Linked DNA regions of Danio rerio. The protein of the gene in region 2 purifies or fractionates together with the protein of the main gene of each other region. This does not show direct contact. Links are inferred from orthologs where the notes say so. Each region holds a gene or a part of one and is shown on either strand. Other genes may lie near its edges.

Region 1 (3,890 bases), on a different chromosome or scaffold from region 2:
AGAGTCATGCCATGGTGCATTTGCGATTTACATAGCGGACTTTGTGAAAGAAAAAACTGAATGCTTCCCTTAAATGCAGTAAGGATAAAACATGAGTCTCCTCCATTCAACCTCTTTACTTTTACTCTTACTTTACTTTCGTGGATAAGGAAACGGTGTTGTACGCACTCCACTTAAGACATCCATCAGCCTACATTTTTAATTTAGTTTTTTAAGCACAAAAATTGGTTTCAAAAGTTTTTCTAAATTCAGTTTTGATTTCCAGCAAATGAATAAATGAACAAGAATAACGAAATGTGGTCAAAAACTCTATTCAAACACACATTCTGTTCTTATTCTTCATATACCATTCAGTTTCCTCAAAATAGCAACATGTCGATAAGGCATCCTGACTCGCATCTATTTTAGACCACCACATCCTTGATGCAGGAAATGGATTTGCTATTTAGACAACGTGGCACAAAATGTGAACATTAGCATGGTGCTGGTCTGGAAATAGCAACAAATCGCGGCAAACACGTCTTGCGCCTAATTGCGCCATGTCTGTGACAGGCCCTGTAGAGTTAAACAGTTGAATATGACATTTATTTTTTTACCGATTTCTGTGTCTGGCAAGAGCACTTTTAGCTTAGCTTAGCATAAGTCATTGAATCGGATTAGACCATTAGCATCACGTTAAAAAATGACCAAAGATGATATACAGTCATTTTCCTAAAACTCAACTCTTCTGTAGTTACATCGTGTACCAAGACCAACCAAAAATGAAAGGTTGCTATTTTCTAGGCCAATATAGAGCGTAGGAACTATCTTCTTTCTGATAATCATTGAACTTTCTGCTGTACCATGGCTGAAGCAGGCACAACGATATCACGCAATGCCTTGTTAGTTAATATTTTTGTTTAAATACTTTCTTTGTCACCAGCAGAAAATCCTTCAAATGTTCTTACTTTAAATTTTTCATCATGTTAAATCATTTACGGTTGTGGCTCTTCCAGACAGCTCAGTTCTGATGCAGGATGAGTCCAGGAGTCTGGGAGCAGAAGTGGCCATCGACATGGACTCGAGGGCAAACCCTCTGCAGCTGCAGCTCATCGATGAACAGGTATCCGTCTCTTATATCAAGCGCAGTTGGAATTAGTCTGGATTGCAGACTCTGGTTTGCATGTATGATAAATGTTCAATGTCTGATTTCATTATCAAATTTCCCTTTATTGTGTTTGTGCAGGACTCGTATATCCAGAGCCGAGCGGACACCATGCAGAACATCGAGAGCACAATCGTGGAGTTGGGCTCCATCTTTCAGCAGCTGGCACACATGGTCAAAGAGCAGGAGGAGACGATTCAAAGGTCACACACACACACACACACACACACACACACACAGGCAGTCCACATAACAGCTAAATGTAGCTATACATTCTGAGCAATTTGACAATCATGTTTATCAAATTAAAATGAGCTTTTTAAAGGTATAATAGTTCACCCAACTCTTAAAAGTGTTGTTATCCTTATCTTGTCACAAACCTCTTCAAGTTTTTCTTTCTGTTGAACACAAAAGAAGATATTTTGAACAATGTTGGAAACTGGTAACCATTGACTTCTATAGTATTTGTTTTTTTTTTCCCCCGTTTTCTTTTATGGAAGTCAATGATTACCAGTTTCCAACATTGTTCAAAATATCTTGTGTTCAACAAAATAAATGAAATTTGTGACGGTTTGCAACAACTTGAGGGAAAGTAAATTAAACTTACACGTTTATGTAAACTGGTAAAACTTCAGTTTGAGATTAGATCTTTTTAAGATTATTTTTCTTATCCAATTCACAAATAATTTAACTTGTTTTAAGCAAACAATCACTTAATTTTGAGGTGTTTTTTTTTTTTTTTTTTTAAGAAAACAAGACCTCAGCTGCGTCCCAAATGGCACACTATACACTATGCACTCATGCACTATGTACTTATGCACTTACGCACTCAACTGGATAGTATATGTATGTAGTGGCGTCCCAAATGACACACTAATGTTTTTTACTAAGCGGAAATTCAAACCGTTTCCCTGATGACATTTGACGGTTGCCAAATCAGTGAAATAAACAACCGAATTATCAAATATACCTGCCGTGAGTACTGCTGCATTCACCATCAGGAGGCGCTATAATCACTCTCGTAGGAGAATTTTGCTTTCACCATCCAAAATAAATAAAGTTATTCAACATGTGCTCCGCCCCTTCCACTACTTAAGCAAACCTGCGGTCGTTGAGTGCGTGAAGTGTCCATCATTCCACGCTTCATTTTAGCGGCTGAATGAGTGCATCATCCGGGTAATTAAGTGCACCTATTATTTTTAGAGTTTTCAGTGTGAACACACTACTTACACTATTTATACTACAAAATGGCGTAGAATAGTGCATAAGTATGCGATTTGGGACGCAACTATAATTTCTTATGCTATTTCATGTGTCTAGTATGTATCTTGACTTAAATATTTAGATTTTTGGATTGAAAACAGGAAAAAACTACTTCGTTTTATCATTATTATTATTATAACAGCTCAGGGATGAGCTTTTTTAAATAAACTAACTTAGAAATTAATGCACTTTTTTTTTTTATCAGATTCATCGATTAATCGAAAAAATAATGTACACATTAATCGATTATTAAAATAATTGTTAGTTTCAGCCTTAATTAAAATGACAATAATATCGTTTATCGTAATGTATTTTGGTGCAATATATCGTACAACAACAAAAAAATAGATATTATGACAGGGATATAGCTGAGGTATTGTCAGATGCTGTAAAAATCATGATGTATTCATTATTCGTCTACAGGATCGACGCTAACGTGGACGACACAGAGCTGAACGTGGAAATGGCCCACGGCGAGATCCTCAAGTACTTCCAGTCCGTCTCCTCCAACCGCTGGCTCATGATCAAGATATTCCTGGTACTCATCGTCTTCTTCGTCATCTTCGTGGTCTTCCTCGCTTGAGGTGGAACGACCTCAACTGTAAGAAGGGCTGCAAACAGAGCCAAAGGGTTTGAAGGAGGGAAGGAGCAGGCGATGGACTTATGGGCGAACGTGCAAAAAAACACAAACTCAAATGGACCGGGCCACAGAGACTCTGGCTCTCGGGATAGGGGGGATGGGTTGGGATGGGGTAACGATGCTCATTAATAGAAATGCTTTTAGTCCGAGGGACTGGACTCAGTTGTAGATTTCTGTCCCATTCTGGATGATGATGAAGGTGGAACTGAGATTTACTGTGTGTTTAGATGGAGAGGAGAGTGTTTGATTTCACTCTGTTCTCTTTAAGCTTCATCTGCATTAATACTTGAGCCTTCGTTTCTTATTAATCATCACATATTAAACGAGAAGGCTTTTTTTTCCCCAAGTGGTTTGATTCTCCAAACTGGTTTAGTTTTTTTTTTTTTCTCTTGGACAGTGTTATTCGTAATCCCACGGTAACATTTTTTATGGTAAATTCAGTGAGATCTGATTCTTTTCAGTAGATATTCCTGATGATATTAATAATACTCCTGGTAATTAATTTAAATTAATCAGTTTTTATATAAAAAACAGGTGATTATTACACACTTAAGGGTGAATCTTGAAGTATCAGAATCATTTTTTACTCCCAACAATTGAAAGGAGCTATTGTTAATTGTGTTTATGTAATTATATTTTTGATACATAAAAATGATGTCTATTTCAGGACTGTTACAGCACTTTTTTCATGTAATTAAAGGGACAGTTCACCAAAAAAAGAACTATATAATATTATTTATTTACCCTTAAATTATCTCTTTTGAGCGAACCATCCCTTTAATGTGAAAAAAAAATACATGAATGTAATTTACCTTATTGTATCTCACGTCATGTAAAAATGTA
Region 2 (3,758 bases):
CTTTTGCAGTTGTCTATTGACATTGGAAATGAAGTCAAGATCCACAATAAGATGTTGGGAGAAATGGTATGTGTCAGGAAGTTTTTCAATGTCTAGTAGGGGTTTCATGGTACACTAAAATGACTTTTGTTTTGAAGTTTGGTGTTTTCTGTTTAATGGGTGGAAAAATTCATAACATTGATGTTTTTACTATACAAATTGTGGCTGTGTCTTTAAATAAATTCAGTTAAAAGTACAGTTGATATTAAGGGTAAAGAAACTATAAATGTACAACTGCTATTGAGGGGAACAACTATAAACTATATATGGAGCCTTATTATTTAAGCATTGCTATATTTAAGTGTACAGTTTCCAACAGGGACCTTTATTAAATTCAGTTGCAATTAGTTTTTAGATATTGAAATCCATGCTAAAATAATTCTAAATGCAAACATGAGACTGTTTTTACAATAATTTAAATCTAATTATGAAATTGTTTCTACTCCAATTAGTAATCCAATTCCTTTGTAACGGATTCATTTAAACGTACATTATATATTAAATATGTATTGAAAAGTATAAGAATAAAGCATTTATTGTTTGAATTTTAAAGTAACAAAACAAAGCTTTTATTTGTGCATCTGAAATAGGGCTGCACAATCTTGGGAAAAATTGACAGTATTTAGTTTTTCTGCGATATATTGCGATATTGATATAATTTCACAAGATTTGTACCACAAATGTATGAGATTTTCCCATTGAGTCCTTGGAAGTGTCAGGTGCAAATAGAAAGGTGTTTCTACATGTACAGCACACACAGAAATGCACAGTGTGTTTCAAGAGGGGGACTGTGGCGTCTTAAGCCCCTGATGTATTGTCAAAAGCCCCTGATCTTTTGTTGGAATATGTTGCACTTAAATAAAAATAGGTTGTATAAAATTTATTTTGTTATCAAAGTTTTTAAAATTAGCTCATACATCACTGTGCTCCAGTTAACGCAGCTATTAAGTCATGTAATTAAATTGTCAGCTATTCTGCAGTATCTGTTTCTACCGGCAGGTGGGAGTGGCACAGTTGTCACATGGTTTTAAAAAAATCCCATCATCATCATTCATTATTTTGAGGAGCTGATGAGGTAATAATACAATTCGCAAAACTGAATAGTTGTAACTACTGATTTTTTAAATAGCTTTTTTTAATTTGTTTTCACAGTAAAAAATGTGTGTAGTTTTGGTGAAATACAATAACTAATTGATCAAATGTGCATCATATCAATGTAAATACACGCGAATTAGTCAGAAAAACGTAAATTGTACTAGCTCTCTAGATATGATATAGATATCTAGGCATATTTATCTAGATATGATATAGCCAGGCACATCTGTTTCTGTAATGGTTAAATCACAGTGAGGTAATGCATCTTATTATTTTATAGCTTCTATTTAACATGCTTTATCAGTTAGCACCGAACTTAGTTAGCACTTTACAAATCTTGAATACCAATCAGAGACAAATGGGTGTTCAGCACTGCCTACATGTGCATTATTAATTTTAAAATCATCTATCCATTTTCCTACCCTAAAAAAAAACAACAACAAAAAAAGTTTGTTCTATTGCAAACAAAAGAAAACCGAAAAACGTCAGTTTTCTTAATTTTCCTTTTTTTGCTTGAAAACAAATATGAAATGGACGGAAGATTCCCTGATTGTGCATGAAGATGCTTTGTTGTGTGTTTTAGAATAAGTATTTTAAAATGCAATATTTAATGTGTCAGACACAAAATACAAGTTTTTAAATTAAATAATAATTGAATATTAATATGACCAGTTAATGGTTAATATTCTGTTAACAAGTGGCAGTTGTCAGTTGGCAAAATTAACTGAAATGAGCATCCCTAATTTCAATGTATTATGGCTAAACTTTGCAGATCTCATCTTCTGAGCGGTGGTGTTGGATTTAGTATAATCCCATCTCAACATTGCAGATCCAGGGATGTGACAATTTCACATGCAGACATTGAATGCTGAAATTGTGCAGCTCTAAATTAAAAAGTGTTCTGTTGTAAAAAAAAAAAAAACTAAAAGATTGACATTGGGATTTAAGAATAAATATTCATGCATTCACATTAAGGCATTCTAAAGTTCCAATTGTGCTGTGGTTAAAGCAACGCTGTAATCTTTTGAAACGTAAGCATGCTAAACAAATTTACAGTATATACAGTTGAAGTCTAAACTATTAGCTCTTCTGTGAAGTTTTTTTTTTCTTTTTCAAATATTTCTTAAAAGAGGTTTAACAGCAAGGAGTTTTTCACAGTATTTCCTATAATGTTTTTTCTTCTGTAGAAAGTCTTATTTGTTTTATTTTGGCTTGAATAAAAGCAGTTTTTAATTTTTGTTTTTAAAGTCATTTTAAGGTCAGTGTTATTGGCCCCTTAATCATTATTTTTTTCTCGATTGTCTACAGAACAAACCACTGTTATACAACGACTTGCCTAATTTAACTTGTCTAATTAACCTACTGCCTTTAAATGTCACTTTAAGCTGAATACTCTGGAAAAATATCTAGTAAAATATTATGTACTGTCATCATAGCAAAGATAAAATAAATCAGTTATTAGAGATGAGTTATTAAAACTAATGTGTTTAGAAATGTGCTGGAAAATATTCTCTCTGTTGCACAGAAATTGGGGGGGGGGGTATACAGGGGATAATAATTCTGACTTCATACGTGTACTTGCATGTTAAACCCCTTTAATTAAATTTCTTTTTTAAGATAGTAGTATTGTGAATAGCTTTAATATCTGACTCGTTTTCTCCTTAAGGACTCAGACTTTGACTCGACTGGAGGTCTGCTGGGAGCCACCATGGGCCGATTGAAGCTCCTCTCCAGGGGAAGCCAGACCAAGGTGTACTGCTACATGCTGCTGTTTGCTCTGTTTGTGTTCCTCGTCCTGTATTGGGTCATCAAACTCAGGTGACCACACAACTCCTGAGATCCAGGACTTTATTACATGCCATGCTCATTTGGGGTAGAAGAGCAAAATCCTCACACTTATGATGATGGTAATGATGATAATGAGGAGGAATTAAGGGGAGCAAATGTGCTTTTCTGGCCAGTGAATTAGAAATTGAACCATTGAGTTACAATGTGCAATATGAGAGAAAAAAAAAAAACATCTGTCCCCAAAATTACAGTCTCTTCAATGGAGAAATGCTACTTATACTGGAAAAACATGCATATTTAATTCAGTAATAATTAAACATTTGTTTGTGTTATTCTTTTAAGAGAACTTCATTGCTATGAATGGGTGATGATTTATAAATTCTAATGGATTTATATATATATATATATATATATATATATATATATATATATATATATATATATATATATATATATATATATATATATATATATATACTATTGAAGTCAATGGTTACAGGTTTCCAGTTCAAGGCAGTTTCCAGAAGAAAATCAATCATGTGTGTTTGAATAAAATGTCATTTGTCTTCTATTCTGTAATCTATTAAAGGTCCCACAGAATCAAAACAGTGACAGAATTCAAGTTTAGAAGATATAAAACTGATATGAACATGTCAAGCTTATAGATTGTCACTTCACCCAAACGAATCAACTGTTTTATTCACATGAACCTCATACTGCAGTTTCTCATCAAATCATAACCAATTTACTGCTCTCTAGTATCTGACATGCCCCGGCCCGCCCCTATTTTGTGCTTGAGCTGACAGAGCGGTGATTAAACAAAACGCTATTGGCTG

The links. The genes of interacting proteins can lie anywhere in the genome.
Region 1: the proteins of bet1 (region 2) and stx5a purify together in Homo sapiens (affinity purification with mass spectrometry; 3 studies listed by BioGRID and IntAct, with this or other methods). This does not show direct contact. The link is inferred for Danio rerio from reciprocal best matches to the Homo sapiens genes BET1 and STX5.

What each region holds. Positions count from the first base shown.
Region 1 is NC_133189.1:9,160,348-9,164,237, forward strand, and holds the end of stx5a (syntaxin-5a), read left to right. Parts: intron 1-995; coding exon 996-1,102; intron 1,103-1,225; coding exon 1,226-1,347; intron 1,348-2,830; coding exon 2,831-2,990; 3' UTR 2,991-3,388; downstream 3,389-3,890. UniProt on the Homo sapiens protein: Mediates endoplasmic reticulum to Golgi transport.
Region 2 is NC_133194.1:43,528,904-43,532,661, reverse strand, and holds the end of bet1 (BET1 homolog), read left to right. Parts: intron 1-9; coding exon 10-66; intron 67-2,800; coding exon 2,801-2,956; 3' UTR 2,957-3,251; downstream 3,252-3,758. UniProt on the Homo sapiens protein: Required for vesicular transport from the ER to the Golgi complex. Functions as a SNARE involved in the docking process of ER-derived vesicles with the cis-Golgi membrane.